Cricetulus griseus: one gene and its partners. The protein of the gene in region 5 binds, or shares a complex with, the protein of the main gene of each other region. Links are inferred from orthologs where the notes say so. Each region holds a gene or a part of one and is shown on either strand. Other genes may lie near its edges. The genes, in order: Kat14, KAT8 regulatory NSL complex subunit 1, Kansl3, Ogt, Wdr5, Sgf29 and Phf20.

Region 1 (3,500 bases), about 100 Mb from region 5:
GAGCACGTGTGGAATTCACCCTGTGAGTAATGCTGACCCCATAGTTCTTCATAGTTAAGCCCTAAGTACACAGATAGTTACATACCACAGCTCCAGCTCATTACGGTCTAGGATAGATACTACATGTCTTCAAATCTGTCAATCAAAACCATGAAACAGACTACATATAGCTACCCTCAAGAGAGAGACAAGAAATGTCTAGGCTATTTCTTGGATGCCGGGTAAGAAAGAAACTCAGATATAGGAAGGGGCATTAAATGAAAAGCAATGTTGGAACAAGAAGCCCAGCAAGTTTTGCATTGCTTTCTTCTCAAATTACTCATGATATCAAATGCCACAGTTTACAGTAGCCATTGCCAGGTGCTGCCTACCCCACTTCTCTTCCACCCCACATCACCTGGTACCGGTCAAGGATCCTGAAGTCCTGGCAGGTGGTCCGGTATGTAGCTTGTCCAGCCGGAAGCCGGGAAGCTCCTCCGTCTTTGGCTCCATAAATCCCATCGACTAACAGAAGTGCAGCGTTCACAACCTCATCCAAGTCAAAAAGTGGTAAACCCCTATCCCTCTTAGCTTGCCTGATGATCAGTTTCCGCTTTAGCCTCCGGGCTTCCGGAGTCATGGCCACAGCACTGGGGCACGCTTCCAGCCTCTTAAGCAGCAGCTTCTCCTCATAGATGCTCACAGGAGCATACCTGGGCCCCTTGGGCTTCACATCCTTCTCCAGGGGTGGCTTCCTCTTTTCTCTAGCCCTAGTGTGCAAAGAAGTGTTTGAATCTGTGTCTTCGCTATCTCCATCCATCCTGTCTGGCTTCTCCTCATCACTGTCCTCCTCCTGTTTTATCTGTTCGGGAGCTCTGACCTTCTTCCTGCTCCCAACCAGCCCAGAAGCTGCTGACCCAGCTGGGGGTGGGATGTACTCCATCCCTGGGTCTATAACTCCGTCTCCTTCCAGCTCATCATCATCTGTGCAAAGTAGAAAGTACTGTTGTCAAGATACAGGAAAGCAAGGCACAAGGCTTTATAGTGATATATTATTTATGATTTATTAAAGCTTGCCTGAGGATTCAGAAAAGCAAAGTCAGCCACAAGCCATAAAAGCCAGGCGCACACCTTTATTCCCAGCAGCCAGAAGTGGAGGTTGTAGTACACACCTTTAATCCTACGACTCAGGATTAAGAGGCAGACAGATCTACGTGAGTCCAAAGCCACCCAGATCTACACAAGAGTGAATCAGTCTAAAGAGAACTATAGCTCACACCTATAATCCCAACAACAGGCAAGTATATAAGACAGAAGCAAGGTCTAAGTGAGATATTCATTCTTCAGTCATATTGTGAAGAGGCAGCAGTTTGAGACTTGGTGAAGAGCTCATGCTTGAATCAGCCCTTTCAGCCTGAGCTAGAGATGAGAGCTAGTGGCCAGCTGCTTTGCTTCTCTGATATTCAGCTTGAAGTTTGAACCCAAATATCAGTCTGTGGGTCTTTTATTTATTTGTGTTAAAAGGCTCACTCACCCACAAGGTGAAAAACACAAGTAAGTCATACCATGAAACAAGGCTTGGGGTGGCATCACATCTGGGATGAGGTCTGCTTCAGAAAGCAAGCTAGGCGTGGCTGAATGCGAGGCTGGTGTGCCCGGGGCAGAGAAATCCAGAGAGGGGGAAGGAGATGGGCTTGTGAGCGGGGTTCGGTCTGAGGAGCTAAGGGATGAAAAGTCAATTACTTCCCCTTTCTCCAGAACCATATCTGGCCTCCGGGCTCGGCTTATGAACTTGACAGGGGTAGAAGAGGTGCTCCTGTCAAGGAGGCCAGCCGCTTCCTTCTGTGCTCTTCTGATGTCTTTTGCTTCCTGTGTTCGGGAACGCTTCTCTTTCAATTCCATGGCAGATTCCACAGGGTTCCGGCTTGCCCGTTTCCTGAGTCCCTCCACAGTGATGATGGGATCCAGCGTTGGTTTTGAGGCTGCCAGAAAAGAATGAACATCTAATTTCTATGTTAACTGTTCTTTTTAAAAATGTATTTTATTTCTGTGTACATGTATGTATTTCTGGACATTTATGTACAGGTGAAAGAAGGCACCAGATTCTTTGGAGCTGGATCCAGGTGGTTGTAAGCCACCTGGATGTGGATACTGGGAACTGAACTCCAGCCTTCTACAAAAGTCTCAAGTGCTCCTAATGGCAGAACCATCTCTCCATCCCTTAACTATATTTTTAATGTTAACTATTTCTTTCATAATTTACTATTGGCACCATGTTCAATACACAGAAATGTTCAATGAATACCCCAACCAAAAACCTTGCTTCACTTTCGGAAAAAGTTTTGGCTCGGTATGATAGTGCATACTTATTATCTCAGTAGTAGAAGGATGAGAATCTCAAGTTCAAAGCCAGCCAGAGGTAAATATTGAGTTAACGCCAGCCTATATAGCAAGAACTTGCTTAGACAAAAGCTACAACGCAAATTTAAACAAATTAACACCATCAATTCTATCTTTCACATACTAGAATTGGTAAAATTTCATAATGATCACCAAGAATATGGTTTGCCTTCCTGACTTTTTTGTAGAACATAAATTTTTACATTTGGAGGGTAATTTGGCATTACCACAGACATTTTTACCTAAATAAACCCTTTGCTCCACCAACAGTATTTTCAGTAATTTATCATACTATGTATATATATGAAAATTTGTAGCACTGTTTAAAATACTGACAAAAAAAGGGAAAAGCTGAGTATAATGGTTCATGCCTATTCAGAGTATTTAGAAGGTACACCCAGGAGGGTCAGAATTCAAGGCCAGCTTAGGCTACATGAGATTGCCTCGGGTGCTAGTTGAGTACCTAGCAGCAGACTCTGCCTCAAAGAACCCAGGCTTCTACTGAGGCTGACCACCAGAGCTCCATCCTGAGGTGACTCCTACAAGTCGCTCTCTGACCTCCACAGGTGTATGTGGCACGCCTCCTCCCTACACACACAAATTTATTTTAAAAATAGGCTGGTCGGTGGTGGCGCACGCCTTTAATCCCAGCACTCACTAGGCAGAGGCAGGCGGATCTCTGTGAGTTCGAGGCCAGTCTGGTCTACAAAGTGAGTTCCAGGACAGCCTCTAAAGCCACAGAGAAACCCTGTCTCAACCCCGCCCCCCACAAAAGAAAATAAATAAAATAAAAATAAAAGCTCAGGCATGGTGGCACAACTGTAATCTCAGAACTGAAGAGGTGGAGTCAGGAGTATCATGAGTTCAAGACCAGACTTGGCTACATGAAACCTTATCTCAAACCAACCAACAAACCACACAATAACAACAACAAAGGAAGAAACAGCCAAAATGTCCATGACAGGTATGCTGGCTAGTTTTATGTCAACTTGACACAAGCTAATGTCAATGGAGAGGAGAGAGGATCAGTAAGATCAAGCTATAGGATGGCCTGTAGGATATTTTCTTAATTAGTAATTGATTTGGGAAGGCCTAGGCCATTGTGGGTGGTTCCACTCCTA
Region 2 (3,500 bases), on a different chromosome or scaffold from region 5:
CATGCATGAGGTGCACATACACATATACATGCCTATATGGAGGAAAACATTCATACATAAAAATGAATCTTTATAAAAAGATGGCATTCCAAGAAGGCTGGCTTAGCTTGGCAACTTAATAGTTCGGGGACTGGAGGGGTGGGTTGGTGGTTGAGAGCACTGATTACTCTTCCAGAGGACTGGGATTCTATTTCCAGTGCTCATATAGTGGTTCACTACCGTCTTAAACTTCAGTTCTAGAGGAACCAATGCCCTCTTGTGAATTCCTCAGGCACCAGTCACAGCACTGATACACATGCAGACAAAATATTCACAAACAAACATTTTTAAATGTGATAATTTTTTCTGAGACTTCATGAAGCTGAATTTTTGTACTCATTCCTTTCAACACAGACAATTAAAGAAGACCAAGGAGGGATATATGAGAGGGTTTGGAGAGAGGAGCGGGAGGGATAGATGATGTAATTATCTGGGAAATTCAAAAGTTTTAAAATTAGCAAAATCCATAATGTTTACTTGTGTCATCAAGAACATCTTTTAAAAATAAACTAATAGTTAATTTTGTGACTGTATGTAGACTCATGCTGTAGTACATGTGTGGAAATCAGGACAACTTGAAGGAATTGGTTAAACCCAGATGTTCAGGTTTGATGGCAGGCATCTTTACTTGCTGGGCTATCTAACAGGCCCAAGAACATCCTAAATGTAATTGGCATTTTTTTTAAGCTGCAAGTGAGGAATACTTTGACTACTTTCATTGTTTGGTGCTATTGTCTTGGTATGTACCAGCAGTTTTGCTTATCTCTGTTTTTGGACCCACATTGCAAATGTTAACAGTTTGTAAAAGGCAGGGCCAGCAGAGATGGCTCAGTGGACCTAAGGCACTTAATGGCCTGAGTTCCATTCCTAGGTTCCAACGAGAGAACCAGATCCTTCACATTGCCCTCTGACTTACACAGCTGTACTGTGGAATCCACAACCCCCACACAAAAATATTTTTTTTGTTTTTTTTTTAACAATTTTATTATTATGTGCATTAATATTTTGCCTGTATGTCTGTGTGAAGGTGTCAAAACTCCTGGAGCTGGAGTTACGTTGTGAGCTGCCATGTGAATGCTGGGAATTGAACCCTGGTCCTCTGGAAGAGCAGACATTACTCTTAACTGCTGAGTCCTCTCTCTAGCCTCCAATAAACATTTTTTTTTAAAAAAAGCAAATGATGTTTTAATATTACTGAAGTTCTCTGGCCACACTCACACTGTAGGCATATGTTTGCCTGGAAGTACAAGTGTACACACATAGCAGCAGCAGTAGTGTGTGTGTGGGGGGGGGTATGTATTAAGATCCCTAGAGGTACAGAGATTGGGCTTTTAGGGATAGTTGAAACAGTCCTTTATATAGATTTCCCTTTGCTTCCAGACCCAGATAGATGAATCAGGAATGAAGAAGCAGCAGTTAATTGAGGTATGTCATTAAGAAAATGAGGCAGGGTGAGAAAGGAAAAGGTTTATTGAAAGAAGAAAGAGAGTTCTGAGTTTCCAAGGATGATCAGATTAGAAAGTTAATTAGTGCAGCTCAGAATTTTTTTCTGAGAGTTAGTGGTCCTCTTACTAGTAGTTGTTGCTAAGGAAATGAGAGAGAAGGCAGAAGGAAGGGATCTTGGGTGGTACCAACATTTTAGGAGGTTTGAAAGGAAGAATAGAATAGAATTATAATGCCAAGAATATCAGGAAAGAATATTTCAAGAAAGTCCATATTACTTAATACTTATGGGAAAGTCAGAATAGGACTGTAGATTTAATAATAACTGGATAATAATATTACTGGTTAATTTTCCTGGAGTGTGATAGGAATGGAAACTAAGTTCTAGAGGAGTGAATAGTAAGGTAACTGTAGCTATTCCTTTGAAGTGTTTTGGGGGAAGGGGGAGAAAGTTATGTTGGGCTATTAATTTAAAGACACAGATTTACTCTGAAAAATAGCCCAGTAGAAAAGACACTATGTGCTATATGAAAGAAGAAAATTAATGAAGCAAATTGATGTTACAGTGTGATGTAGTTAGCCTGGTAGTAACAATCTAAATTTGTAAGGAATGAGCTAATGAGAACTGGATTCCTGGCCAGAAAAGTAACACAAATCCATGAGATTTTGGCATAAACCTTTTAATGAGAATAACATGTTTTTCTATTACTGGATATTCCTCTTATATGGTCATATTAAATCTAGTAATTTAACATTTAAAGAGCCCCCTCCCCCCCTTGGTTTTTCAAGATAGGGTTTCTCTTTGTGGTTCTGGCTTTCCTGGAACTCATTCTGTAGATCAGGCTGACCTCAAACCTAGATCCTCCTGCCTCTGCCTCCAGAGTGCTGGGAATAAAGACATGTGCCACCACCACCTGGCAAAGAGGTTTTAAGTGCAGGTAATTGTAACCATTTGTGATTATTTCAGAATGGGACTTCTATTTTGACAATATTCAGCTTGTGGTTAACAAGTGACACGAAGGGTAAAATTATTTTCTTGTGAAAGCATTGTGTTCCTCTCTTTCCCCTAGGTGAAAGACATCTGAAGGCTGTAGAATGGTTCCTTAGTTAATTTTCTTTATTTGGAGGCAGAGTTTGGACAATAGCCTCAAGTGGTGCTTCTATTGAAAATGTGTGTTGTTTTTGAATTCACTTGTATTTCTGACTTCCTTTCTCTCTATCTCTTTCAGTTTGTTCTCAGGGGAGGCAGTAAGGGGCCGTGGAGCTGGCCTCAGCACTGGAAGAGGCTGGACTTCCTGTCTCTCTGTGCTGAATGGCTGCGATGGCGCCCGCTCTCACTGACGCAGCAGCTGAAGCACACCACATCCGGTTCAAACTGGCTCCCCCATCCTCCACCTTGTCCCCTGGCAGTGCCGAAAATAACGGCAGCGCCAATATCCTTATTTCTGCCAACGGAACCAAAAGAAAAGCCATTGCTGCAGAGGATTCCGGTCTAGACTTCCGAAATAATCCTACCAAGGAAGACCTGGGAAAGCTGCAACCATTGGTGGCATCTTATCTCTGCTCTGATGTAACATCTGTTCCCGCAAAAGAGTCTTTGAAATTACAAGGGGTTTTCAGCAAGCAGACAGTCCTTAAATCTCATCCTCTTTTATCTCAGTCCTATGAACTCCGAGCTGAGCTGTTGGGGAGACAGCCAGTTTTGGAGTTTTCCTTAGAAAACCTTAGAACCATGAATACAAGTGGTCAGACAGCTCTGCCACAAGCGCCTGTAAATGGGTTGGCTAAGAAATTGACTAAAAGTTCAACACATTCGGATCATGACAATTCCAGTTCCCTCAATGGGGGAAAACGGTCTCTCACTTCATCTGCTCTGCAGGGAGGTGAAGTGGGGGGATCTGACTCTGGGAACTTGAAGGGGGGTATGACCAATTGCACTCTTCCACATAGAAGCCTTGATATAGAACACACAACTCTATATAGCAATAATAGCGCTGCAAACAAATCTTCTGTTAATT
Region 3 (4,046 bases), on a different chromosome or scaffold from region 5:
TTCAAACAAACCACTCTTCTAAGCCATACCTATGGCTGCAATCCTAAAGCTTGGGAGGCAGAAACAGGAAGATCAAGAATAAGCTACCACCCTAAGCTACACAGCAAGTCCCAGGTTAGCCAGGGATACAGAGTAAATACCCTGCCCCAAAAGAAAATACACAAACTCATCAAGGCAGCATATACCTATTATCCTAGCTCCTGAGAGGTGCAGGCAAGAAGATCAAGAGTTAAAAATCATCTTTAGCTGTACTACTGTTTGGGGAGGGGAAGGGACTGGTGTGTATGTGTGTAAACAAACCCAATTTCAAAAATACAACAAACCAATAAAAACATCCAACATTCTACACTTGCTTAAAAACACATAATGGTCCCTCTAACTCATCAATACTCAAAGGGGTGTGTGTGTGTGTGTGTGTGTGTGTGTAGAGAGAGAGAACCCACTACCCCTACAAAAAAAAAAAAAAAAAAAAAACTGTGCTTGAGAAAAGATTAAACATTAAGTCAAAACAAAAAAAAAAAAAAAAAACAAACACAAAATCTCTTATCCAAACATTTGTAATGACCAGTCTAGAGCATTTCAACAAATCCGGAAATGGGTGAAATCAGAAGGTTCAAAATAATTGACTAATTAGTTAGGTCAGATGTAACCAAATCACTTATCAGATAGTAAAGTTTTGAAATTTTCTTACCCTCTAACGTAAGGTGGCTGGAAATATAATGAGACTTAGGAGGGTTTAGATTAACCCACAGGTGGCTTTCTGTAAGGAGGTAAGAATGAAAGCAATGTTTTGGGAACTCCCTCCGAATCTGTGATTTGTGCACTGAAGCCAGGGAAAGGGAATGATATATTGTAGCCACTGTCAAGCAAATCAGATGCTGCAGTAAAGTGACAAGGAAATTCTTCAGTTTTCTCTTTCCACACAAGCTCTATTACACTTATCTAAGTGGACTAGGCTGTGTTTTCATTTGGATATCTTGCTTTTCTAATTCCCATCTGCAGATGTCTGTGAAGATGTCCACACTTGCCCTGATATGCTTAGGCTGCTCAACCAAGTTCTCCAGTCACCCCCGAACCCCAATCACTCCCAAGAACACTTCTCTAATCCCCACCATATGATCACTGCCAAGGTTAGGCAGAAGTAGCCCTTAAGAAGGAAACCCAAACTCACATGGTATTCTCAAACTCACATAGTATTCTCCTGCTGCCGACGGGGAGTTACAAAGAGCATGCGGGTGGGGCGGGCACTACTGGCATCTGGGTGGGCACTCCATGGTTTAGCATAGCTATGATCCAAAAAAACGAGGTCCAGCTCCCGCTCATGCACTGAAAGTTGGAAGAGCAGGGAGGTACCCATCCGCCGAGCTGAAGTCTGGAAGTCCCTCTCCCCACCCCGGTGGGCCATGTCAGTAGTCTGGCAGACAAGTCAGGGTGTGAGTATCTGCATACTAGTCACCTGCAGTGAAAAGTGGTCAATTCAATATTTTCAATCTCTCCCAATGTAAACTATCAAAATACGCTTTTATGCCTATCAGTCTTATCATCGATTATGCCCTTTCACACAGAAGTGAGTTCCCACACCACTACAAAAAAGGTGCCGGTGTGATGGGGCAAGTCATTCTGTGTATCTTATTGGTTCCGGTGCTGTACAAAATCCACAATTACGTAACTATAAACTGACTCCACAGTTACAAAGACCTTTCGTCCACAACTGGGAAGGCACAGGCAGACAGATCCCCATGAATTCGAGGACGGCCTGATTTATACAGTGAGTTCCTGCCGAGAGAGAGAGAGAGAGAGAGAGAGAGAGAGAGAGAGAGAGAGAGAGAGAGAGAGAGAGAGAGAGAGAGAGGGAGGGGGGAGGAAAGAGACATGAGAGGGAGAGAGAGGGAGAGAGAGGGAGAGGGAGAGGGAGAGACGGGGGGGGGGGGGGGGGGGGGGGGAGAGCAAAACAAAAAATAAAGACCTAAATCTGCTATGCAATTTCCTTCTTGGGTGGTAAAGGTTTTTTTTTTTTTTCTTTTGCAAACAAGAAGAATCACAAGCATGAATTCTTTCAAAAGCTAAGGGGTCCCTACTTTCCATCCCCTTAGGGCTTGGGCAGGGCCTGTGGGCTCGGGCAACTCCTGGAACAACAGCCTGGCACCGCGGGCGTCCAGGAAGCAGCCTGCTGCCCAGGGCTCCAGGTTTCACCGCTTTGGGCTGAGATTAAGGGTAGTCTCCTAGGGTCACGTTCCAAAGTTTTGCACCGACCTCACGTTACAGCGGAGTTTTGAACAGATAAAAAACGAGAGCCCGCCCTCAGCCCGTGCCGGGACGGGCCCTCGGGAGGCCTTTCTTCCTCCGCCCTCCCACGGCGAGGCGCCCGGCAAACTGCCCGCTCCTCAGGGAGGATCTCGCCACGGAGCCGCAAAACCTCAAAACGGCCCACCCGGGCGGCACGGCGACGGCGCTGGCTCGGGGGCCTAAGCGACTTGGCCAAGGTCATCCCGAGTTCGTGACGAGGAGGAGCCGCCCGGCCCCGCCTCCCGGGGCCCTTCTCGGCCCCGCGCCTCAGCCGCCCCAGCGCCGTCTCGGCCTCCGCGCGCCCGGGCCGCCCCGGGCCCGCGGCTCCAGTCCCGGCCCCCCGCATGCCCGCGAAGCCCGAGGGCCTCGCAGAACCGCCGCCCGCCGCCTCGAACCCCACGGGCCGCCACCCGCGCCGGGCCAGGCCCGCGTCTCACCAGCAGTCGCCGGCCGCGCGCTCGCCCGAGCCGGATCCTAGCGCGCGTGCGCTTTACCGCCTCCGCGCCGGGCACGGTGGGCTCTGACGAAAGCGCGGAAATGGATCGCTGCCTGGGGACCGCGCGGCGGCGAGCGGCAAAGCCCGGAACGGATCCGCTCCCGCGACTTCGCTGCCCAGTGGGTAGCGCAGGAGGGGCACACAATTCCCAGGCGGAGACGTCCTGTCCTCCCTCTGTGTTTTCTGCAGGAAAAGTGAGGGCAAAGAGCAAGATAGTTGCCGGGTGGTGGTGGCGCACGCCTGTAATCCCAGCACATGGGAGGCAAAGGCAGGCGGATCTCAGTGAGTTCGAGGCCAGCCTGGTGTATACAGAGTGAGTGCCAGGACTGTTACACAGAGAAACCCTGTCTCGAAGGAAATAAAAAAGAACAAGGTATTTGCCACAACCCAAGTACTCTGTGTCCCCACCTTTGTCCCTTTGCCAAGAGCTGGGTTCCATTTGCAGTAGGAGAGTGGGGGTTACCTTCAGTCCAGCCACGTGATGTATCCTTATAACCCCAGCACGCAGGAGGCTGAGACAGGAGGATCACGGTGAATTCCCGGACGACCTGAGCTAAAACGTGATACCCTGTCTCAACACTTCAAAACAAACTGGAGAGAGGGGAAGAGGAAAATCTTTGCAGCGTGTTGGAACCAACACTAGAGCTCTGCAGAGTTTAAGGAATAAAGGGAAGTTGGCAGAGTTCAGACTGGGATGAGATAGAGGTGGAATGTTAGGCTCAACATCTAACTGCCTGGTTCAACAGATCACAGCAGGCAAGGCTTCAGCCTTTTCTCATCTCTAAATGCACAAATACTTAGCCCTGCCTCTCCAGGATGCCAGGGGAATGCAATGGGCCACCTGTCAAGACCTCGAATTGACTTCTTGATGGCAATTACCATGAGCTACCCCACCTTTATGCTTTCGAACTCAGCATCTTTGACTGCTTACTTACTTATTCATTTATGGGGCGAGTGGTAAGACAGGGTCCCATGTATCTCAGGCTCAGCTCAACCTAGCAGTAGAGGCAGGGATGACCTTGAATTTTTGATCCTTCTGCTTCTCTGCCTTTCAAGTGCTGGCATTTCAAGCCTGCATCACCATGCCTAATAGAACACAGTGGGGTTGCTTTTTTGTTTTATTTTTGTTTGTTTGTTGCTTATTTGTGGGGTGTTTTTGGTTTTTGTTTTTTGGTTTGTTTTTCAAGACAGGATTTCTCTGTGTGTAGCCCTGGAACTAGCTTTGTAGACCAGGCTTGCCTCGAACTCACATATTTCTGTCTGC
Region 4 (4,145 bases), on a different chromosome or scaffold from region 5:
TTCATCTCTTTAAATTCACTCATTACTAAAGCTTTCTTTTCTAAACCACAGCAATATTTACTTCCAAATGAGATTTGTCTTTTTAATTTTGTAGTTTTAAACTTTAAATCGTAGGTACAGTCACTTAACTAAGTTAGCACATTGTCACACAAAACATTAAACATGAAATCACAAAGATTTGTCAGAATAACCTAGTGCTAATAATACTTCATCCTACATTTCACGTTGGATTAGTAAAGGCTGGGGTATTCTAACACTTTCTCAGTGCAGGTGACTCCAGGTGTCTGAGAACTATACTGATGTTTGTGCGTTTTACAGCTTTATTTTTTTAGGAGCAACGATAAAAACAAGCCTAAGGAAAACAACTGAAGTCAGAGTGCTACTTTCACTTTTAAAGTAGCTGATAAACAAGACTAGTATCTGTCAAGGGCTAAAGCATTTAATACCTTCACCAAACATTTTAAACAAAGACCCAAATGTTCCTCGTCTACTGGCAAGGACTCACAAGGAGACCAAATTAGCTAAATCCCACCCACGCTGCCTTAGCGTTAACATTTTCCGCTGTGTTCCCGGCTCTCACGGAAGGATTAAGACGTTGAAAACAACCCTTTACATATCTACGCAATCTACCATTGCAATAGTTTAAAAACGCTACAATATAAAACACTGGGTAAAATATAACATAATAAATGACAAAAAATAATTTTATTCTGTGGAACTTGGTTTAGATACATAATGAAAAGCTGAAGCTCAGATACATGCCTAAGGCTCAGCTATAAACATTTCTCTCATCAGTGATACAAGTAGGAATTCTACCATAACACTCTCTAGATGGTTAGAATGGGAAACCACAGACCGAACATAATTTTACCAAGGTCGTGAGGACAAGCTCAAATTTAAGCCAAGCTCCCCCGTATCAGAGCTGATGAGTGCTCTGGATGCTCTAGAAAGCAATTTCCTGACAGAATGCACAGTTGACCACCACAGACACAAAGACCGGGAAGATTTGTGTCCAAATCTAAGGTCGGATCTTTAAGATCAACTAGAAAATTACATTTTAGAACAGAATGCAGCACTTTCTAGCTCCTAAATTTAGCATATTGCTTGTCGGCACTTTTCCAAGTCGGTTATCTGCTCTTTTAATACTGGAAAAGGCCATTTCCTCAAATAAAGTTAACAGTCAGAAAAGGGCAAGCGCTTACAAAATTCTAACGCGAAATCTTAAATCTTTGAAATTCACTGTGGGAAACGACCACTGCGGGGGTGGAACTAATTATTAATCCCACTGCCATCAATTATGGATGAGATACTATTGAAGATTCATCCATTTATCGCACAATGTCGCACAACTAAAACCTTGATACACCGCGACTGCGAAACAACAAAAAACAATATCCTCTCGGAAACCTTAGAACCGCAGCCGGGTTCCTCACTCCCTCCCTCCCCAAATAGCCTCAATCTGGAAAGGCAATTGAAGGACACTCCTACAATTTGGTTGTTTTCTTATTTTTAGTAACGAACGCTCAGGAATGAATTGTCGAAAAGGGGCAACAACTTTGCACTTGTGCAGCTACACTCCAGGTGCTTTACAAACTCTTCAAGCAAGGATGGAAACTTAAAAAAAAAATGCACACCCTATGAATAAAGAAATAACTGGGCTAAAGAATGGGGATGAAAACCCAGAGGCGGCGGCGGAGGAATACATTGAGAAAGTAACACAAAGAATTGGGCGGGCAAGGGTGGTCAACGCCAAGCAACGCACCGAGGTGGTTTCTTTCCCAATGATAGGAAACGACCGTCGGGCTGGCACACTTGCGGAGGAAGGGTGTGGTTGCCACGAGCGGGGAGGGCCGACAGGATGGGAAAGTCAGGACAGGGGCAGCGGGTGCACTTGGGCGATGGCTAAGAGAACCCCTGGAAATTTCCAACCTAAACCGAGGCCACTCAACCCAAGAAAACCAGGTGCCAGCCGGCGTCCAGGCTCAAGGTCCCTTCTTCTTGAGGTTACTTGGAAACACATCGACGAGCTTTTGCTAGTCTTTGCCTGATGCAAAGTGAGGCTAGGATTACATCAAAATAGCACCCCCGCCCCAGACTGGCAGAGGGGTACTAAATGTGGCCAAGGGGAAAAAGGCTTGGGTGGAGGGAAGTGGAAGTGCACTGGGGGGATCGACGAGCTGGAATTAGGGGAGAAAGGAGTTGCGATGGAGACAGAAAGAGCAGGGATTCCAATGCAGCCCATTCCAAGACATTCTAAGCGCGCACGTGTGCTAGACGCGTCCCGGGAGATGATGCTAGAACACTGATGGTATAAAATACCAACGAAAAAGCTCAAAAGCAAGCAAAATGCAAGCAAGCAACGAGGGATTGTTTACAGAACGGACGACAGCACCAAACCCTATCAGATGGCAATAGAACTCAAGAGAGTTCAGCAATGCCACTGATGTAATGGGGATGGTTAGAGGGAAGGGAGTGATGAGAGATACAAGACGGCGCCAGACCCCAAAGGGACGTCTGCCAAAGTAGAATGGGACACTGGTACCTGTGCTGTCGGCCACGTTGCCCACGGAAGACGCCATCTGGAGCTTCTTGATATAGAGCAAGAAGGGGGTAATTGACTTCTACTGCCGCCACTACTGGCAAGAATGTTTCTAGAGGTAGCAGAAAGGGGGCAGCAGCCGTATCAGTGTTTTGGAAGGCTTAAGGGGCGGCAGCAGATACTGAACTCGAATCTTGGGAACTCTACTTAGACATCTACCTCTCCCTGTCTTGAAATGGCGGCGACGGCTCCTCGACCGAAACAACACAGGCCGGAACTACTTTCTGTTACAATCAAGTACCCCGCGGAGGTAGCGCGTAACAAGACTACCGACAAATGACTGTAATCAAATCACTTGCTCTTACGTAACCTTCCGCCCAAGGTCCATTGCGACAAACACGGCTATAGAAAGCGCATGCGACAACTCTGTCAAGGCAACTCCGGGTTAAGGGCACCCTGTGGGGCAAGAGCTTCCAAGTTTTTAAGAGCCAGGCGGAAGGGCAAAAAACGCACGTCGATTACATTTTTTGGCAAGTGCTAAAGTAGAAGTCTACTACCCGGTCATTGATGTAGATGTTAACAGGAATGTCAGAGACGTCTAGAAAAGTTTCGTAAGATAATGGATAGTTTACATGGCTAGTGTGTCCGTTCTAAGCAAGTAAATGCGAAGAATTGTATTTCAAGAGACGGAACTGTTCAAAACGAAGGGGGAGCCGGTTCCGATTTGAATGCTTCTTGATTCGGACTCCACCCATGAATTTAAGTATTTTGATGTGAAGAATGATGCTTTCCCTTTGCTGCGTGAACCTAAACGTGTCCGATTTGAATCATATAGCCCGAAAATTCAAAATCGTTGTGGTATTCGGGAGAATAATGGTCTACAGTAACAAAATAAATGTTCAATTACTCAGGGACCTGCTGCGATTTCGCATGCCAAAAGCAACCATGGAAATGTTAAACATAATTCGTTTTCATCAAAATTTCTGATTCTGAGTTGTGACTTCGTTTAGCCAAACGGCTCTGCAAATTGTTAAGGTCCGCGAATGCCGTTGACCTTAAGGCAATTCAACAATGCTAAAATTCGCTACACATCTACGGTGAATCCCGTATTGCCTTCCTTTGACAAAACAGCGCTTAGGATCCTCCTGCGGTTTCAAATGCAGCTTTCCGACATTTTGTCATACTGTTATTAATTTATACCTCCTGCCTTGTTCCTGGAAAATTTTTAACATAACTTGTCACATCAGCAAGCAATTACTTCAAGCCACTAGAGGCTATAGTTAGGTCTCTTAGAGCCTTTTTGTTTCTGTTTTTTTTTTCTAAAAAAAAAAAACTCTTTGATCTAAGAAAAAATCAGTGAACTTGTGTAAAAATGTTTGTTTCCTAACCCCTTGGCGACATAAAAAATAAATAAATCCTCAAATGCTGCTTCAATTTCTTGGAATCACTGACCAAACTGTCAACTCTGGATATGAGTGCAAAGAAAGTTGATAATATTATTAATTTCTTTCGCCTCATAGAAACACAGCATGTAGTGATAAAGTTCGCTACACACACTCTCTTGGACACCCGCTTTATTTTTTCATTTGAGATACCTGGCAAGCCC
Region 5 (4,057 bases):
ACACTCTGCTCCATTCAGGGCTCCGAACATAGGGATCAGGTTTGTTAGGCACACAGTATCACATCGGCTGTTTCTGTGTCCTCTTTGGAAGGGGATTCTGGGCCAGTTGCCAGTCTTCTCTCACTCCTATAGCTATGGGAACCACACACATTCTCAGCTCCAAAGGCTCACTTCCTTTGCACAGGTTCCTATGCTATATTTGATACTCCCACACTGGGAGATAAGAGGCCGCCACCATCTCCAAGATTCTAAGACCATGTGTGTTAGATAGTAAGATGAAGATGCAGCCTGTCTTCAGGTTGTCATTATGTCCTTGTGTCCTCTCTGGGTCTTTCCTCCATTAGTGACAGGAGTAGAGGTGGCCTACAGGAGAGGGGGCTGTGAATACTTTGCTTAATTCGGGCATCCTGCCTGTCTGGAGCTGTCTTGTGAAAATGAGAATTACGGTGAAAACAGAGACTTTAAAATGAGCCTCTGAGCCATACAGGAGCTGGATTGTAGTGGATACTGCGGTTGCCTGGAATGTGATCTCTGGGCACCCAAACTAAGGAGCAACTGAATGATGCAGTGGTTCCAGATGCATGCATAGCGAGAGGACCTAGAGCCCCTGTGTTAGGGACACTTGCCTTTCATCTTTCTTTTTTCCTTCCTTCCTTCCTTTTTTTTTTTTTTTTTTTTTTTTTTTCTTTCGAGACAGGGTTTGTGTGTAGCTTTGAAGCCTGTCCTGGAATTAGCTCTTGTAGACCAGGCTGCTCTCACAGAGATCCCAGATGCCTCTGCCTCCGAGTGCTGGCATTAAGGGCGTGCGCCACCACCGCCCGGCCTTGCGGCGATAGTTTCTAAGACCTTTTTCTGAGTATGGGGCTGCGTAGCACAGCCTCCTTGTCGCCTAGCTCAGAGGCGAGGCAAATGTGTCCAACTTGAGCTGTGGCTTGTAGCGGCAGGAAGCCCCCGCCCTGCGGTAGGCTGGGGAGGCCGCAGGAGCTCCGGACTTCCGGACCTCGTGGACCTCCACCAGTGGCACCGAGAGGGTTCCCAAGACCCCAGCGCAGTCACAGGCCAGGACGGCCAAGCTGTAATTATCAGCTTGGCGACACAGCATGGAACAACAGGAGAATCACAAAAGCACATTCCGTCCCATCCTTCACTGCAGACACCACGGGTCTGCAACCAATGGATCCCAGCTGTCAAGCAGGAAGCGAGAGCCGCCGGCGGCCCCTTTAAGGCACTCCTCCTCCTCTAATTTTTCTGACCCTCGTCGCCGCCCGTTGCCCCGCCCCCCGCGCACGCGCACTCCCGCCCGCGTACCGCGCCGCTGCCGCCTAGTTCAGGAGCTCGTCTGCTCTCGCGCGCAGAGCTAGCCGACGCGACGCCAGAGCGCCCGGCCCCGCCGCCGCGGCCCCGGCAGGTAAGAGAGTGAGCCGGCCCTTTGGGCGCGAGGCGGGCGGCGGCCACGAGGGATAGCGGGCTCCGGGATCCACAGCGCCGCACGTGTTCCATGGGCCTCAGGCCGGGCCCGGCGCCGCCTCTGGGGCCGCGCCCCGACCCCACCGCCCCTTGTGGTCGTCATGGCCCACTCCTCCCACGACAACCCCCACTGCGCCACTAGACCCTTAGTCGTGCGAGCTCCTCGAAGCACACCTCAGGCTGGTGTCCTTGGGGGTGGGATTCACGGTCTTTCACCCAGCCAGTATCTCCCAGGTTTCCTTGGCCACTTGGCGCCTCTCTTATGTTGCCAGTTGCCAGCACAACCTTCACCTGAGTTCCAGTGCAAATTTCTACCTGACGAGGCCTAACTCTAGTCAAGGGGGTTGTAAACACTGTCTGGGTCAGCACACAGTGGTGTGAAGCCAGGGCTACTAGGACCAAGGTACTAGAACCCAGAGAGAATGGGTTGTAGCTCTTTGTTGGGTTGGCCAGCTGCAATCACCTGAGTGAAACATTCTGTCTCTTCTACACTTGTGCACTCAGTGCCATCCAGGAATCTGCATTCGATTGGAGAGAGAGTAGTGACTGCTGCCCTTCCATGGCCAGGCTCACTGTAGTATAAAGCCCAAGCCACCTTCCGAGTATTCTGTTTAGCATACCTTCCTCTCAGAGCTGTCCTCCCCAATCCTGCTTTTCCGTAGGCTTAAAACTTGCACACCTAGATGCTCTGTCTAGGACTCTGCCCAGTGAAATTGGAAATCGGTGATTTCTTTTGAGACAGACTTATGTAGTTGCTGGCATCTCTTTTTAACTGCTTTGAACTCCTGAGCCTCCAGCCTCCGGAATGTTGTGAGGAAGACTGGCTAAAGTTGGTGGGATTTTTTTTTTTTTTCTTTCCTCAAGACAGGGTTTCTCTGTGTAGCCCTGGCTGTTCTGGACCTTGTTCTGTACATCAGGCTGATCTTGAACTCAGAGACTCCCAAATGTGGCCTAAAGCGTGGTGCTTTCATATGTTAATATTTGACATCTTGAAGAAAGACCCTGTCTGTCCACAGGGTATTGCGGGGTGGGGAGGGTGGTGGTGCACACTTGTTTGCAAAGTCATCCACCCACTGCTAGGTGAATCTCCTTATCTAAAAGAAGCTGTTTAGTTCCCAGAACCTTCCCACCCAAGAGACCTCCCCTACACTGTTGCCCTGTCCTTTTACTGGGGAGATTTGCTGGGCTTTGTGAAAGGGACTTTCAGCATCCTCAGCTCCTCCTGCTACCTGTATGGTCAGCAGAAGTGGTAGCTGTGAGAATCCATGATATGGCCAAATTTTCATTGAGAATAAGCTCCTGGCGTTGGTAGCACATGCCTTTAATCCCAGTACTCAGGAGACAGAGGCAGGCGGAACTCTGAGTTTGATACCAGTCTGGTCTACAAGAGCTAATTCCAGGACAGGCTTCAAAGCTACACAGAGAAACCCTGTCTCGGGGAAAAAAAAAAAAAAAGAATAAGCTCCTGGTCAGGCCTGGTGATTGATATATGCCTGTTACATCAACTGTACCCAGAAGCTGAAACAGGAGGCTTTTGAATACCAGGTACATAGCTAGACCCTGCTTCCAAAAAGCTAAAAACACCAAACAGCTGACATTTCCTGGGCACCAGAGCTTTGTTCCCTGGAGAACCTAGGGGATCTATCCTCCTCCAGTCCTTGCACCTGGGCTTGAGCTACAGCAAGCTATGACCGTGATGGAACGGGCTGCAGGTAAAACAGCTGGGCTGCACCTGTGCCCTTTGTGGTGGGCATTGTAACTGTTACTCCTCTAGGACTGAAGACTTTGAGACATGTTTTGTGTGTGTCCTTCATTTGCCTTAGTCTTTACATGGGGTCTGTGTGAGGTTTCAGGTTTAACCTCAAAGCTAGAATTTACATCATCATTCTTATATTGATGGCCGAGAAATCCATGACCAGTGACTGACATTTGCAAGTATGCCTTAGTAGTTCTCCTTTGAGGACTACTACTTCATTTCCAAGTCACATGGTGCGCTTTTGTGTGGTGCATCCAGGTGATGGACCTATTGCTGCAATGGAATTAACTGTTGCAGGTGTACACATTTCAGGCTGAGTGCTGACCAGAATAACTACTTTCCTCTGCACAGTAGCATGTATCTAGTTTGCAGTTCACTGCTGTTCTCGCTGCTCCTCCTGAGGAAACCTGTGGAGGCAGCGACCACTCTGGTTTACTCTTGTAGCTCTTTTGTAGTACTGTGGGCACTGAGTCCTTGAGCTCTGTGAGCTTATTCTAGAAGGCAGCTTTGTACCTGCAGCCTGTGAGATCATAGGGAGCAGCTGGTGAGGTGGTGGCCACTGGGTTCATAATGCCTGTGTTTTCATGATCAAATTCCTTGGGTGCATTTTAGGGTAAGCTCCCAAACTTCTGCACAGAAGGTCTACCTCCTGTCACTTGGCCTGTCAGTTTCTGTCAGAAAGCCTTTTTTTTTTTTTTTTCTTTCTTTGGTTTTTCGAGACAGGGTTTCTCTGTGGTTTTGGAGGCTATCCTGGAACTCTCTCTGGAGACCAGGCTGGTCTTGAACTCACAGAGATCCGCCTGCCTCTGCCTCCCGAGTGCTGGGATTAAAGGC
Region 6 (3,500 bases), on a different chromosome or scaffold from region 5:
TAGGGAGGCAAAGGCAGGACAATCTCTGTGAGTTGGAGGCCAGCCTGGTCTACATAGTGAATTCCAGAACAATAAGAGCTACATTATGGGACTCTGTTTCAAAAATAAAAAAATTAAGAAAGTACTTGGAATGGTACCAGGTAGTGCCAGGTAGTGGTCCTTGTTACCATTACAGGCTGCAATAGTCGGCATATTCCCATGGCAGGGGAGGGTCAGAACAGTTGATAGAATCTGTCATTCTCTCCACATAATCCCACTGTATGCTCACAATCCAGCAGGGAGTTATTACCCTGATTTTAATGACAAAGCAACGGGGTTTCAAGTGAATTGACTACCAGGTCATGTGACTAGGAAATGGTATGCAGGGACACAACACTGCTTTACTGTCATCTACAAGGCAATAAGATACAGGAGAGGAATGGATAAAGAAGGAAGAGCTTGGGAAGGTTCAAGCAATGGGAGAGGCAGAGTAGGAGGACCCTCTTCACAGACAGAAGGCAGCTGGGGCTGTGGCCTCGGGAATATGTGGTCCAGCACCAGACGTCAGGGAACAGAGCAGCAACAGCCCTGTGGGCATTACTCACTTGCACTCAGCCTCCGCATCAGCCTTGGCGGTTGTGTAGAGGCCACGCAACTTTGTCCGGTAATAAGGAGAAACTATAAACACAAGCATGAGGAGACATGAGCAAGAGGAGGTGGCAGCATGCAACCCTGATTCCAGGACATCAGAATCAGCTTGAAGAGGCTCAGAGGTCAAGGTCTGAGCTTTATCACTTCAAACATGCTCCCAGGAAGTTAGTAAGATGATTCTGTCTGTAAAATACTTGCCTTGAAAGTACCAGGAACCAAGCTCTATCACCAGAACCTAAGTAAAAAAAAAAAAAAGCCAGGCATCCCAGATGTGTAGCATTTGCTTTAATCTCGGCACTTGCAGAGGCAGGTGGATATCTATAAACTGAAAGCCAGCCTGGCCCACACAGAGTTCTAGGACAGTCAGGGTTATCCAGCGAATGAATGGTGAGAAACAAAACATGAGGTTGGCCTTTGCACACATACACATGTGCATACACATATCCCAACATACATTAAAAAAAAAAGTGTTCCCTGTTCAACAGGGCCACATTTCCATATGGTAAAGACGCCACCACCATTCTTAAAAATTGCTTTCTAACCTGCCTCCTGTCCACATCATTACCAAGGAGAAGCAAGTACTGTCCAAAGCTATTCTGAGTTAGAAAGCCCCAGGCACAGGGGGTGACCTGCCTTGGGGCATATGCAGAGGCCATGGGGGAACTCTGCTCCCGAAAAGCCCCATGCCTATGAGCTCTAAGGTAAGGGTGAGTTTTCCTGCTTCAAGGCTGCCTTTCCAGTCCGAGCTGAGAGACTCTGAGGTCCTTTAGTGCAAGGCCAACTGTCTTTAGTCCTGTCACTTTAAGTCATTCAGACAAAGGAACAATGACCCTAAAGAGCAACTTTGGGATATGCAGATACAAGCAAAACTCCCTTTGAAGACACAGTAAGGCCATGCTCCTGGCCTCAGCCATTCCCACTTCCTTTCTCTTCTGCCCTCAGGTACTCACTCTTGTTCTCAGTCTGCATTCGCTCGTGGGTTTTCTGGATGTTCACCAAGTTGTGCTCACTCCTCGAGCGTTCTTCCTAGAAAGATAAGGTCAAGAGACCATGAAGTAGACCATTTACCCTAACAAAAGCTCCCTGTTTACATGAAGACCTCCTCTGTGTAATTCTGTCCTGTGGGTTTTGACAGACGCTTCGGTTACATACCTATCATTACAGTATCATACACAAGAGTCCTACCTCCCCAGACATCCTCCCTGCTCCTCTAACTCTTGCATCCATCCCAACTATCCCAAGGCTCTGCCAATGACATCATTTTACTTTTACTTTCTCTAGTTTCTCCTTTCTGGAGTTTGTCACACAGTTGGAATGAAGCATATATGTAACCCACTGGGATCTTTCATTAAGCAAATATTCGCTAGTATTTTACAATTATTTTTCAGGGTATACCAACTAGTATGTCCCAGAGAGGAATTCCTGGGAATTGCTCCCTACTGGTTCACTAGACCATGTGGTCCAGCAGAACCACCAGTGTGTAACTGACTATAAATATCAATAAGCCAGACGTGGTGGCACACACCTTTAATACCAACACTCAGGAGGCAGATAGGTCTCTAAGAGTTCTTGGCCACCCTGGTTTACATAGCAAGTTCCAGGTCAACCAGAGCTACATAGAGAGACCCTGCCTCAAAAAAGCAAAACAACACACACACACACACACACACACTTCAATGAGCAAATGCTTGGAACGGTAATAATGGACAAAACAGAGCAATGGCATGCTCAACATGCCACACGGCATGCTACAGGCACAAACACATATCATGCTTTATTTGTGAATGAAAGAAAAGCTATTTTAATATATAGGAGGAAATGAGATTTAGACCATTGGCTGCTATTCCAGCGGACCCAGGTTCTAGTCCTAGCACCCATGTGGCAGCTCACAACTGTCTATAACTAGAGCTTCAGGGGGTCTGACAACCCCTTCTGGCCTCTAGAGGCACCAAGTATGCATGTAGTGAACAAACATACATGTAGGCACTCACCCATAATCATAAAATAAAATTAGTCTGGAAAAAAAAGTAGAGGCATCACCTGGCAGATTCAATTCCTTGGTACTACATGCAGGACAAATAAACATACATGTGACTATCACCTTTTAGTCCTAGAATGAGGCACTGTACTTGTTCTGGTTTGACACTTTACTATTCCTATGCTATCAGTATACATCTGCAACATGAGTGGCAGAGTAAACACTGACCCACAGACAGAGAGGGCTTTGGTGATGCCTATGCCTTGTGGGACAAGACAAATTCATGATGAATGAGGAGCTGCATTCAGAGGGAAAGTATTTGTTAATTAGAATAAGAAGATCAACGTGAGTTCTCTTACAGGAAAAAGGCCAATGGAAGTCAATCTAGAAATAGTGAGGGCCTCTAGAGTCAGGCAGGACCAGCAAAAATGCTAAAACCATCCATCATGGGGAAAGAAAGGCCTTAAACACTGACCCAACAGAGCAGAGCTATTTTGAACAGACAGAGGCCAGAGAAGGCAAAAGACAAAGGCCTTCCACCCTCAATGCTATAGCCCATAGGTACACTTATGGTACTCTTGTGGACCTCCAGGGTACCTGTAATACAGTGATGCATCATGACTACACCTGGACCAGTAACAGAGAAACCTAAGCTACATCCTGAAGCAATGTCAATACCAATAAGAATTATTCTAAACACCACCTGCGTCTGTCTCAAGGGAAGGTGGTAGACTTTAGTATGTAGTGCCAAGGACTGAGGCAAGGTGACTGGGTTTGTTTTCAACTGAGCTGCAGCCCAGAAATAGGCAGCCACAGGCCAGGGTAGTAATCTGGGCAGCAGGGGATTAACAGGGTTAACTCAGCAGGCTGGGTTATCTAAACCCCACACATT
Region 7 (3,500 bases), about 120 Mb from region 5:
CAATGACCTGTTACGCCTGAAGCTGAACAGTTCCTGAGGCAGCTGGAGATGCTGCTATTCTAGCTACTGACATTGGCTCCTTGATGTTTACATAGTAAATATTTGCTGCCTAAAGCATTACAGATTCCAAAACTCATGATGAACCTGGGGGTGTTGATGGATAAAGGTACTTTGATATTTGCCTTTAGTGATGCAAAAACTGGTTAAATCAAGTCCTCAAAGCATGGAACCTTTTAAACTTTGCCTAGTAAGGTAAAACAAAACAATATAGCAATTACACATGGAACCAGAACCTACAAAATAACACAAATATTTTCTCTGAACGTACAAACAGGTTGTACCTGGACCTTAAGCAGCATAATCACCTTGATCTCACAAGTAATACAAACAGGAAATTGAAAGTGTTAAAGTGCATCAGCAGCTCTGAAAATGCCAGCTACCACACTAGCCTCCAAAGAGGAGGAGAGTGGCACACAGAATCTCAAGTTGCTGACGACAATATAAAATAAGGTAATTCCCACATTCTTTGTAACAAATCTTTACAGTAATAGTTCAAAATCTTGGGAAACTTTTTTAAACTTTAAACAGAAGTGGGAAGTTGTTGGAATTAATACATGTGTAGAAAATGCTGTCCGTTGGGTTCCAGACCCTGCCTGCTTCCTTCTGGGACTCCTTGTAGATTCGAATCGCAGCAAGATTCTAGTTCTCCTTCGGCAGTTTCGGCTTGGCTGCCAAAGCCATGGCCCAGCCTACTGTGGGCTGAAAAACAGCATAAAACCTTGTCCCCCGTACCGTGAAATCATGCAAGAGACGTGGCAAGAAAATGAAGTCTTGAGGAGGCAGTGCCGTCAAGGCCGTGCTTCTCCTTCCCAAACTGCATGGCACAGTCAAGTCCCAATATTCCAGTGAAGCTGAAAGATGAAAACAAACAGTGCCTGCTGCCATACACCACACCAGGCAGAGAAACCAGAGGGGTTGGTATATGCCTCAACCTGACCCAAAAGTCAATTCAATAAACTGCAATTTGAATTTACAACTGTTTCCAACTAGATTTTTTTTTTTTTTTTTTTTTTTGGCTCTCATTCCATTTATCACCAGTGGCACGATTCCAAGTGAAGATGTGCAAAGACTCGCTTCGTTCAACGATGTGCACAGAAGAGGGTTCTAAGACTATGCGCTGCCTTCGTAGTTGGCTTCCAGATCAAGAGTGCCCCGTCCTCCAGCAGCCAAAATGGTCTCTTTGTCCCAGTGTCCATCACACTCCTGGCCAAATCCCTGAAGTCAGTCAGTGTCACGTGCATTCAGCATGCTAAGTTTATTTATTTAAATATTCGAAGCTCCCCCTGGCGGTCATGCCAGGACTGTGCTCCAATTGTCCTGGGCGCCCAATCTCATGTCGAGCAGCAGAGGGCAATCTGCTGCACCTTGCCTAGGTCAGTCAGCAGCTGCTTGATGCAATGCTTGAGCTGTGGAAGCCTGGCCAGTGGCTCTGGGGGCTCCAGTTCCCCAGTGTAGTCCAGCCAGCTCTCCAGTACTGCAGGTAGAAGAGAGAGAAGACCCTTGAGTGCTTAGAACTTGACTTACAAAAACCTACAAGGCCACAAGGCCACAAGGCCATTTCAACCCAGGCTGCCCCAATATTAGCGCCCCACAAAGCATTGCTCCAGGGCACAAAGCTCTAATGTTAGGGTTTGCATGGTAAGCATAGGCTTGTGTGGTGGATGGTTGGACCCTAGCTGGTGATGCTATTTGGAGAGAAAGTAGGTCACTAGGGGTATGCCTTTGACAATTATGCCTGCATCCCTTCCTCTATCATCCCTGTCTGCCAAGACATAGCCAGATGCCTCCACGACAGGCTCTCACTGCCAGGACTAGACCAAGTAGCTTTGGACTGGACTCTCTGAAATGATAAGCTACTCAATGTGCTTTTGTCAGGTATTTGGTTACATCGATGCCTCCCCACAGTGCAGGCCTGAAGCCCTAATTAGTGATAGAAGGAATGATCTATATCTATGTTCCCCAATGCAGTGACCACCAGTCAAATCAGATACAGCTGCTGAGCTCTTACAGTAGGGTGAGTGAAACTAAGGAGTGCACCTGAATTGTATTCACTTTTTTTCATGTTTTCTCTGTGTGGCTATCCTAGAACTCAACTCATTCTGTAGCCCAAGCTGACCTCAAACTCAAAGAGATTCACATGCTTCTGTCTCCTGTGTGCTGGGATTAAAGGTGAGAGCCAGAGCCCAGCTGCATTCACTTTTAATTATGTTAACTAGCCACACAATGCTAGCGGCTGTTGTGCCAGAGCAGAGTCCAGAAGGTTCTGAAGACTACTCTGAGTTATCTGTCTTTTTAAAGCTTTCCCATGTAAACAGGGCAGGCTGTCCTGCCAGAAAAACGAAGCATCTACAGGGACTTTTTTTTTTTTTAAATCACTGTCAATTCTGACTTGCTTCATGTTAATACTTGATATGTAGTTATCAGCACAAAATACACTTATTCTCTCTCTTTAAGAAATTAGTGTAGTGGGGCAGTAGTGGTGTACACCTTTAATCCCAGCACTCAGGATGCAGAGACAAGCCTAGCCCACACAGAGAGACCCTGACTCAACAATTTATCTGGTCAGGTGATAGTGGCACACAACTTTAATCCCTGCACTTAGGAGGTTGAGGTAGGTGGAACTCTGAATTTGAGGCCAGCCTCGGCTACAGAGCCAGTTCCAGGACAGGTAGGGATACACACTGAGATCCTACCCACCCCCCAAAAAAGTTGTTTTGTTTGTTTGTGTTTTAAAAGCACAAGATAGTTTCCTAGGCTGGTGAAATGGCTCAGCAGATAACAAGCTTCACGAAAGCTTAAGAACCAGTTTGGATAATCAGAATTTACATAAAGTCAGATGTGGCAGCACAAATGAAATCAAAAGAATCTACAGAGAAATGAGAGGCAGAAACAAGAGGGACAAGGGACTCCCCTGAAGCTTGTAGGCCAGCAAGCCTGGCTCATGTGGTGAGCAAGAGACCCTGCCTCAAAGTGGACAATGAGGACTGACACCCAAGGCTGTCTTCTGACCTCCACAACCATGCTGTGGTATAAAGCTGTGCCCATACAACCAACACACATACATGCGAATTTGAAAAAAACTCTTTTTAAAGATTTATTTCTATTTTATGCTCTGGTGTTCTGCCTGCACATATGTCTGCGTGATGGTGCCAGATCCCCTGGAACTGGACTTACAGACAGTTGTGAACTTCCATGTGAGTGCTGGTTATTGAACCCAGGTCCCTCTTAACCACTGAGCCAGTTCTGGCCAGCCTTGAAAGAAAAAAAAAAAAAAAACAACAACAAAAAAACTTTTTTTTTTTTTTTTGGTTTTTCGAGACAGGGTTTCCCTGTGGCTTTGGAGGCTGTCCTAGAACTAGCTCTTGTAGACCAGGCTGGTCTTGAACTCACAGAGATCCGCCTGCCTCTGCCTCCCGAGTGCTGGGATTAAAGGCGTGCGC

The links.
Region 1: Wdr5 (region 5) and Kat14 share a complex: the UniProt entries of both Homo sapiens proteins name them as parts of the ADA2A-containing complex. The link is inferred for Cricetulus griseus from reciprocal best matches to the Homo sapiens genes WDR5 and KAT14.
Region 2: Wdr5 (region 5) and KAT8 regulatory NSL complex subunit 1 share a complex: the UniProt entries of both Homo sapiens proteins name them as parts of the NSL complex. The link is inferred for Cricetulus griseus from reciprocal best matches to the Homo sapiens genes WDR5 and KANSL1.
Region 3: Wdr5 (region 5) and Kansl3 share a complex: the UniProt entries of both Homo sapiens proteins name them as parts of the NSL complex. The link is inferred for Cricetulus griseus from reciprocal best matches to the Homo sapiens genes WDR5 and KANSL3.
Region 4: Wdr5 (region 5) and Ogt share a complex: the UniProt entries of both Homo sapiens proteins name them as parts of the NSL complex. The link is inferred for Cricetulus griseus from reciprocal best matches to the Homo sapiens genes WDR5 and OGT.
Region 6: Wdr5 (region 5) and Sgf29 share a complex: the UniProt entries of both Homo sapiens proteins name them as parts of the ADA2A-containing complex. The link is inferred for Cricetulus griseus from reciprocal best matches to the Homo sapiens genes WDR5 and SGF29.
Region 7: Wdr5 (region 5) and Phf20 share a complex: the UniProt entries of both Homo sapiens proteins name them as parts of the NSL complex. The link is inferred for Cricetulus griseus from reciprocal best matches to the Homo sapiens genes WDR5 and PHF20.

The regions. Positions count from the first base shown.
Region 1 is NC_048599.1:34,612,822-34,616,321, forward strand, and holds part of Kat14 (cysteine-rich protein 2-binding protein), read right to left. Parts: intron 1,962-3,500; coding exon 1,545-1,961; intron 964-1,544; coding exon 398-963; intron 1-397. UniProt on the Homo sapiens protein: Component of the ATAC complex, a complex with histone acetyltransferase activity on histones H3 and H4. May function as a scaffold for the ATAC complex to promote ATAC complex stability. Has also weak histone acetyltransferase activity toward histone H4.
Region 2 is NC_048600.1:117,451,448-117,454,947, reverse strand, and holds part of KAT8 regulatory NSL complex subunit 1, read left to right. Parts: intron 1-1,419; 5' UTR 1,420-1,464; intron 1,465-2,711; 5' UTR 2,712-2,794; coding exon 2,795-3,500. UniProt on the Homo sapiens protein: Non-catalytic component of the NSL histone acetyltransferase complex, a multiprotein complex that mediates histone H4 acetylation at 'Lys-5'- and 'Lys-8' (H4K5ac and H4K8ac) at transcription start sites and promotes transcription initiation.
Region 3 is NW_023276807.1:11,828,258-11,832,303, reverse strand, and holds the start of Kansl3 (KAT8 regulatory NSL complex subunit 3), read right to left. Parts: upstream 2,801-4,046; 5' UTR 2,724-2,800; intron 2,390-2,723; exon of another isoform or gene 2,254-2,389; intron 1,457-2,253; 5' UTR 1,406-1,456; coding exon 1,191-1,405; exon of another isoform or gene 1,172-1,190; intron 761-1,171; exon of another isoform or gene 692-760; intron 1-691. UniProt on the Homo sapiens protein: Non-catalytic component of the NSL histone acetyltransferase complex, a multiprotein complex that mediates histone H4 acetylation at 'Lys-5'- and 'Lys-8' (H4K5ac and H4K8ac) at transcription start sites and promotes transcription initiation.
Region 4 is NC_048604.1:68,640,124-68,644,268, forward strand, and holds the start of Ogt (UDP-N-acetylglucosamine--peptide N-acetylglucosaminyltransferase 110 kDa subunit), read right to left. Parts: upstream 2,801-4,145; 5' UTR 2,580-2,800; coding exon 2,543-2,579; intron 1-2,542. UniProt on the Homo sapiens protein: Catalyzes the transfer of a single N-acetylglucosamine from UDP-GlcNAc to a serine or threonine residue in cytoplasmic and nuclear proteins resulting in their modification with a beta-linked N-acetylglucosamine (O-GlcNAc).
Region 5 is NC_048599.1:139,190,716-139,194,772, forward strand, and holds the start of Wdr5 (WD repeat-containing protein 5), read left to right. Parts: upstream 1-1,257; 5' UTR 1,258-1,408; intron 1,409-4,057.
Region 6 is NC_048596.1:74,084,154-74,087,653, forward strand, and holds part of Sgf29 (SAGA-associated factor 29), read right to left. Parts: intron 1,657-3,500; coding exon 1,581-1,656; intron 658-1,580; coding exon 585-657; intron 1-584. UniProt on the Homo sapiens protein: Chromatin reader component of some histone acetyltransferase (HAT) SAGA-type complexes like the TFTC-HAT, ATAC or STAGA complexes.
Region 7 is NC_048599.1:23,292,060-23,295,559, forward strand, and holds part of Phf20 (PHD finger protein 20), read right to left. Parts: intron 1,535-3,500; coding exon 1,392-1,534; 3' UTR 1-1,391. UniProt on the Homo sapiens protein: Methyllysine-binding protein, component of the MOF histone acetyltransferase protein complex.